Linked DNA regions of Cricetulus griseus. The protein of the gene in region 2 interacts with the protein of the main gene of each other region in a pairwise test. Links are inferred from orthologs where the notes say so. Each region holds a gene or a part of one and is shown on either strand. Other genes may lie near its edges.

Region 1 (4,287 bases), on a different chromosome or scaffold from region 2:
GCCCCCCAAGGCAGAGACTGTGTTGCATTGTACTTCCAGATGTTTTCAGCAGCTGCGTGGGTTGGCTTTGTGAGTACGAGTTTTCAGGGAATGTACTCCATTTGGCAGGGGAAGATCCAAGGAGCCACCTTTGCAGTGTAGATTGGCTGCTGGAGTGGAGGGTGGGGTACTGTTCATTTTTACTTGCCTGAAACACCGTGACTTGACTAAACTACCCAAAGCACTAGCTGGCAAGATGGCTGAAGAATTCTGATACATAGTGGACACCTAGTGTCTACTAACTCCTATAGCCAAGATTTTGGAGCTGTACACAGGAAGAGACATGACACATTGGTGGGAGCCTGTGAAGAGGTATGGGGAAAGCTTAGCAAATGATGGTCACTTCTGTCTAAGCATGTGGAGTCTTTGCTGTAAGACAGACTTGCTTTACAATGACTGTAGAAACAAGATTGTGGGTGTCCAGTTCAAGTCAACTTTTGGGAAGTAAATCAACAAAGACATAACATTTCCAAGGGCTTTTCACATTTTGCTTTCCCCAGACTGTTTGCTAGTAGCTCTATTCCCTTTAAAACAGTTTTCTTTTTTTTTTTTTGTTTTATTTGAGTTACAAACAAGATTGACTTACATGACAATCCCAGTTCCCTTCTCCCTCCCCTCCTCCTCCACCACCCCCCCAACTAAAACCCTACCTATCACATATCCTTTCTTCTAATCTACACCTGACTCAACCTTTCTGCTCCCTTATGACCTCTGCAGCCTTTTTCTTCTTCCCTTCTCATTCTCGTAGCTCCCTCCACCCTTTTCCTATGCTCTCAATTTGCTCAGGGGATCATGACCCTTTCCCCTTCTCCAGGGGACTAAGTTTGTCTTTTTTATGATCCTCCTTGTTTACTAGTTTCTCTGGCAGTATGGATTGTAGGTTACTAATCCCTTACTTTATGTTTAAAATCCACACGAGTGAGTACATATCATGTTTGTCTTTTTGTGATGGGGATACCTCGCTCAGAATGGTTTCTTCTAGTTCCATCCATTTTCCTGCAAATTTCAAGATTCCATTGTTTTTTTCTGCTGAGTAGTACTCCATTGTGTAAATGTACCACATGTTCTCTATCCATTCTTCAGTTGAGGGGCATCTAGGCTGCTTCCAGTTTTTGGCTATTACAAATAGTGCTGCTACGAACATTGTTGAACAGATGTCTTTGTTGTATGAATGTGCTTCTTTTGGGTATATGCCTAAGAGTGGAATTGCTAGATCTTGTGGTAGACTGATTCCCATTTTCTTGAGGAATCGCCATACTGATTTCCAAAGTGACTGTACAAGTTGGCACTCCCACCAGCAATGGAGAAGTGTTCCCCCTTTTCCACATCCTCTCCAGCATAAACTGTCATTGGTGTTTTTGACTTTAGCCATTCTGACAGGAGTAAGATGGTATCTCAGAGTTGTTTTGATTTGCATTTCCCTGATGGCTAAGGGTGTTGAACACTTTCTTATGTGTCTTTCAGCCATTTTAGATTCCTCTATTGAGATAGTCCTGAAAACAGCTTGGTATTGGCACAAAAATTGACAGGTAGACCAATGGAATAGAGTTGAAAACCATGATATTAACCCACACACCCAAGAACACCTGATTTTTGACAAACAATCCAAATATATACACTGGAACAAAGAGAATATCTTCAACAAATGGTGCTGGCATAACTGGATGTGGATATGTAGAAGACTACAGATAGACCCAAGCCTTTTGCCCTCCACAAAACTTAAGTCAAAATGGATCAAAGACCTCAACATATATGCAGCCACGCTGAACCTATTAGAAGATAAAGTGGGAAATACCCTTGAATGAATTGGTACAGAAGACTGCTTCCTGAACATAACATCAGTAGCACAGACACTGAGATCAACAATTAATAAATGGGACCTCCTGAAACTGAGAAGCTTCTGTAAGGCAAAGGACACAGTCAGCAAGACAAAACGACAGCCCACAGACTGGGAAAAGATATTCACCAACCCCACATCTGACAGAGGGCTGATCTCCAAAATATACAAAGAACTTAAGAAGCTAGTCTCCAAAACACCAAACAATCCAATTAAAAAGTTGGGTACAGAACTAAATAGACAATTCTCAATAGAGGAATTTAAAACAGTTTTCAATGATCTCTTTAAAGATGATTCATCTTTATAGGAATATACATTTGTAACAAATCCAAAGACAGAGAGGAGGTTGTCTAAAAAGACTTCCACAGCAGTGAGATCAAGCAAGAAGTTGTTAGGCTTCTGTCACTTCGCCATTTTACTGGATCATCCTGCTAGGGAGTCTTCTGTCAACTGTTAGACACACGACTGAATCTAAAATGAAGTAGCTCAGGGTAATTCATACACAGACTGATCATTTCTTTCTGGGCAGAACACAGTTATCAGAATAATCCTCAAATATTTTTGCTCACTGGACAATATACTATTGTAACTGACAGATGCATGGAAACATTGCAATTGCAACATTAAAAATTCTAGTGACAATACACTCACCCCAAGAGCTATTGCTTCATCTTTAAAGTTGGCTTTGGTTGTTGTTGTTACTGGAGCTGGATGCACCGTTGGCACATTTTCTGGACCAAACCGATTGGTAGTGAAGATTCCTGGAGATGTAATGAAGGGAAGTTGCCCAGTCTGTACTTGGTTTCCTACATTTAAAATACCCAGAGGCTGTTGAGGATGATGAGCCATGGAACTTGTTGGTGGGTAAGGATTGGGAATGGTGACATGCATTCCGGGGTAGGTGGTTGTCTGGGAAGATGTCATTATGTCCTAAGCAATAGAAAACATATAAAAGTAACACATTTATCAAGGTAAGAAATGAAAGGAAATCTTGTCAAGTGTCAATTTTCTATGCAAGTGGGAGAGAGCAACTGAACACATATTGTAATGACAAGCAATAAAAATATGATTCTCATTTGACCTTGGAATCTTGTATATCCTGGGGCTCAAAAGAGGGGATGATGGGAATACATTTAATTTTCAGTTCTTCACATTTAGTTTTGCAGTGTATTCATGTATATGTGTGTATGCAAACACACATGGACGCATGTGTGTTTTCCTGAGTTCATTGTTTCTGAAGGGCAACAGAAGTCAGGGAGGACTGAAATGTCAGGACTCTGAACACATGGTCTGAGTAAGTACCCCTATTACAATGCCAGTGGTTTTATGCACCAATAGGTTGGTTATATAATTCATACTTTAGACAAATGATGAAGACATCCCTCCTATAGTGCTCTTTGACATCTGTGAAGCAAGAAGATGGTTTGCAGAGATCTCAAAAATGAACCCAAGGTCACTGAACACAGTGTTTTTGGTATGCAGTTTCCTTCTACTTTCTTTAAGGATTATGAGTGATTTTTGTTCACATTTAGTCATGGAGACTTACTTCCAACAAAATCCCCTTGGCCACTTTGGGCCTGAGATGCTGAATGAATAAGAACCCACAAGAGCAGTTTATATAAATAGCATTAGGGAGACTAACATCAGTGGCCATATGTGAGCTAGTAACTTCCTCAAACAAATAATTTTAATCTTAGACCACCTTCCTTACTGTCAAGTTGCATTATGGACATCAATATAGTTTCCTATCTGTTGCTATAACTGATTAACAGTAAGATAGTTACTGAAGCCTCTCTTCAGCAGGTTTCAAATGACCTCTTTCGGATAACATTCATTAAATACCACAGTGGGTGTGTACTGTGTTCAATTATAAGCATCATTTTGGGGTTAGAATTCTGGCTGACACCAGCTATGTGTTTAGCAAGTTTGTTGAACTTTCTTTGCTTTTATTTCTCTACAAAACAGTGCTAAAAACAATAAAAGAATACTTTCCTTCTAGGGCTATAAGGAGTGATTCCTCATGACATGCAAATACTATTGAAACAGGAACCATGCATGCATTTTGTAGATCCAGTTTCTGAGACTAAGTACTATTCCAGATCTTTTTAGTCTCCAGCCTGATAGATCACTAAACTGTGGTGCCTTGAACAGCTTTCTCAATTAAATCCCTGTTAGTTCCTGCATCTAAGCTGCAAAACAGTGAATCTAAATGGCTGGTACAAAGTTTGAATGATGGTGATTTTCATAAAGCTGTTTTAAGAGCAAGGGAGATCAAGATCAAGATGGAGAAATCTACAGGGACAGCTGAACCAAGATTGAGGGAACTCATGAACTCTAGACCAGCAGTTAATGGAGCCTCCATGGGACTGAACTAGACCCTCCATTATGTGAGAAAGATTTGTGGAGCCTGG
Region 2 (4,012 bases):
GTGCTGCTTGTCCCTGATATTCAGAAAAGGTGGTGAGAGGTGAGATTCCAGCAGAACATAGTAGCTTTGGCACCATCCTGTCAACAGTGTAGGGACCTGAGAGTGGCCTGTAAGCTCTGGGACTTGGAAAGAGTTGAGGATAGGCTGTTTGGGGGCTACCTGTTGCCTTTCCTTGCAAGGCTTTGGCTTTGAGTTTCATTTAATCCACCTCCCTGGCTGGCAGAGACAATTGGCTACTCCTCCCACCTTGCCCAGGACAGGCCCTGGAACTCCCTGCTGTTGCTAAGGAACAAGACACATCCTGTCACCCCAGTCTTCGGGACAACTCTCCCGTGCATCCTCTCCTCTGCCCGGGGAGGCTCTCCAGCTGGCCTGCTGGAGCCAAGGAGGGAAGGAAGAAGACTCTGGGGCGCCAGGCCTTCCCTCAGGGCGGTGGAAAAATGAAGGTTAGTGGGTTGGAAGGTAAAGAAGAAATCGGTCCAGTCTCCAGACCTGGCTTGCGTGTGAAAGAAACAGCTTTGTGTGGAAACACAGCAAGGCAGCCAGCCCTGGGCTCTACTCGGGAAGGAACTGCTTGGCCCCAACCCTGGGTCCTAGCTCGACTAGGAAGACAGCAAGAGCAAGACCCCAAAGAGTGATTCAGTTGGGACAACACCAAATCCCTGAAGAGGGGAGGTGTAATGCCTGGCTGCTTCAATCCCTCAATTAGAATCCCAGGGTCGCCTTGATGGGAAGAAAGGCAATCTGTGTGACCACTCTGTGACCTTGACTGTACCTTTTTCTTATCCAGTCTCCTCTCTTGGAAAAGTATAACATAGCCACGTGCTGGACTGTCTGAGCTCCAGAGGTGTCTGTGGATGGTTACACATAGTAGGTCCTCAATAAATGTATTTTATATCAGCAAAAACAAAAACAAAAACACTGCTTACATCCTGAGTGTAAAGATCAGCAGGGGCATGGCTGGATACCTCCTGGAGTCGTTTGCTCCAGGGAAAGTCTAGAAAAGAGCCTTCACGAGGCAGCACCAGTTCCCTCTCTCTGGCTGGCTGGCCGGCTCTGTGCAGAAGGACCTGCTCTTCTGGAACCTTTCTTTTCCCCTCCCAGGCGACGTCCCTCGTCCGATGGGTGTGTCTGTCGGGCGGGAGGTGATACTTGAACAGCTGCGGGCGCGGGCGAGTGCTGTGGAGCAAGGATACCGGCATAGGTGACAGCATGGCTTCCCGGGACACACCGCCGGCCACCAGCTATGCCCCGCCCGACGTGCCCTCGGGGGTCGTTGCTGTGTTTCTCACCATCCCCTTTGCCTTCTTCCTACCGGAGCTGGTGAGTGCGGCTTCGGCCACCAGCAGGGAGGGAGGGGCTGGGAACCACTCCTGTGCTACCGACCTACCGCCACCCGCCACCCCCCATCCGGGGATGGGGTAAGGCAGCTAGCTACGGGTGCCCACTTTCCATACTATCTGCCTGACCCCAGGCTGTGTCCCTCTAGAGCGAACTTTCCTCCTTCCCAAAGAGGAACCTTCCCCAGGACACTCGTTTATTGAAGGTGTGCAGCCACCTTCTAGATTACCCAGACGTCTCGGAATATTCTATTACCTGGTTTCTTTCCACCTAGCTGTTTGTACTTTCCTAAAGTTCAAAGAACCAGAGGACTCTCTCTCTAAAAGGCCTTCTAAAAGAAGTTCTCCGAGTATTTCTCAAAGTACATCAGCTGACTTTGAACTTTGATTTATGTGTCTCCACAGAGGAGGGAGCTCATGACAGCACCGTCCATAAAACAATCTCCTGAAACGCCCAAGTTACCCCAGAGAACTTGTTATTGCCGGACTCTGGGGCACCCCACAGCAGAACTGGGCTTTATTCCCTGCCTGGGCTCAGCCATGCATCCAGTAGAAAACAGGTTCCCTCTGCTCCTGCAGTATCTAGATTGTGCGTGATTTTTTCTTCTGAGCTCTGAATTTGACAGTGCTGCCTCTGTGTCGGGAGGAAGACTCAGAATAGTACATAAAACTGGCACCAGTGGCCAACCTTTTCCACTCTCTTGGTCTCCTCGAAAGGCTGGGACTGATGGAGTGAATTTTAGGCAAATTGGTTAAAACAGCCATTCTTGTTCATCAAGAAAGGGAAGCCAAGCTAGCTGAGCCCCATAGTTGGGTGGCTTTGGCAGAGACCCCACCTAAGAGATAGGTTTCTTTCAATCCCCCACAAACGTGGGCATCCTGCCAGGCTGATCACATTCTGAACTCTGTGTGCCAGGCCCTGGGTGTGGCCCTCACTTTGGAGCAGCCACATGTATGACAGGACAGAGCTGTCTCTGCCACTTTTTATTGAGCATATTCTTGCCAGTCACACAAATCATTGTAGGAATGGCGGCTACCTCCCAGGGGTCTCTGTGAGTGTTTTCTGGGTGGCTTAAATGCAGCACCAGCAAGAAGAGATGGCCAGTCCCAGGTCAGGGAGGGCCCAGGGCTGTCCCTGGGAGTTGCCACTCGAAGAAGGCTGGATGGCTGAGGCAGCAAAGCAGCCAGGTAGAGAACTGGCACTTGAGGGGCCCACAAATGTCCCCACCTGTCCTCCTTCTGCAGTGGATTCCTAGAAGAGTACTATCAAGGTGTCCTGGGACTTGGAGGAAAAGAGGACATTGTCATTGGTTTGGTTTTCTTGACTTATTTTTAAATAATTTTAGATTTCTCTTAAAGACACAGTAGCAGTACAGGAAGTGTGTATCACTCTGAACCCCACAGATCTCCCCAAGCCAGGAAGTTAACATTAGCACTCTGCTGTTGACCATTGTTGTCATATTTGCTCATTTCCCCACTAATGGCCTTTCTCTGACCCAGGGTCCAGGCTAAAACTCCTCATTGTGTTTGGTTGTCCTTTTCCCTTCATTCTGGGGCGGCTCCCCTGCCTTCATCTTGGTGTTCTAGAGAAGGGATTAGTCCATTAGGGCAGTACCCTTCCAGTTAGCCTTGCCCCAAATTTTTAATTTGCAAGTCAACCTTATTCATTGTTTAAAACTTAGAAAATACAGAAGTGGGCAGGACCTGTATGTATGCATGTGTTCACAGGTGGAGCATGTGCAGCGTGTGTGTGTGTGTGTGTGTGTGTGTGTGTGTGTGTGTGTGTTGAGTGCATCATTCTGCACATGCTACTTGTACCCGCTGTGAGCAAGGACTCCAGAATCATGTGTGCCTGGATGAAAGACGGGGAAAGAGGGGACCAGGTTGGGGAAAGGATCAACTTTTGATTCCATGAACGGAAGCTAGGAAAACGTGTATTTGTGCTGAGCCAGTTTGGCTCAGACCGGTCTTTGGCTTGGGCAGTCTGATGTATCCCCCTCTGCTATCCATGTGATCGATGTGAAAGCACCATGCCTCCAGGTACTCCTGACCCTTCCTTAGTCTTCTGGTCTGAGACAAGGGTCTATAGAATGGATTAGAAAGCAGCGAGGCCAGGACACCATTGCAGAGCACAGAAAGCAATACCCAGGTATAAGGTGAATACCGATACGGAGCCAGTAGAGATATTAGGGTATATTTATTAGGGAGAGCCTTACTCACAGAGCAACCTAGCCAGCCGGAAAGAAACGGAGTAAGCAGAGCAAACCAATGAAGCAGGGAAAAAGAAGGGGCTCCCAGGTGCGCGTCCCTCACGTCACCCTGACCATGCCTGCCAGGACGTGGTCAGGCACACCTGTAGCCAGCCCCGAGGAGGCGTGGTTACTGTGTCCCCTACACCCAGGAACTAGGGTGCAGTGATTCTGCGGTGGAGTAGCTCGGGGTGACATCACACAATGGTGTCTTCAGTGACCTTCCCAGCCACCAGCAGCTGTTGTGGAGCACCACATGGAGCCGGTGGGCAGATTCATTGTCAGATCAAATCCAACAAGCTGGGATCTTCCCTGATGGCCATAAGCCACACTCTGGCTATCATGGAGGTACGCCTCTGGCTCTTTGTGGCTCTTGAAGATGACAGGCCAGGTAGGGTAGCTCAGGCTTCCAGTAGCTTACTC

Evidence for each region.
Region 1: the proteins of Mall (region 2) and Ms4a12 interact in binary tests that used the Homo sapiens proteins (3 or more experiments, as listed by UniProt). The two-hybrid records come from large-scale screens. The link is inferred for Cricetulus griseus from reciprocal best matches to the Homo sapiens genes MALL and MS4A12.

The regions. Positions count from the first base shown.
Region 1 is NC_048596.1:49,231,150-49,235,436, reverse strand, and holds the start of Ms4a12 (membrane-spanning 4-domains subfamily A member 12), read right to left. Parts: upstream 2,801-4,287; coding exon 2,528-2,800; intron 1-2,527. UniProt on the Homo sapiens protein: May be involved in signal transduction as a component of a multimeric receptor complex.
Region 2 is NC_048599.1:50,860,318-50,864,329, forward strand, and holds the start of Mall (MAL-like protein), read left to right. Parts: upstream 1-1,212; coding exon 1,213-1,323; intron 1,324-4,012.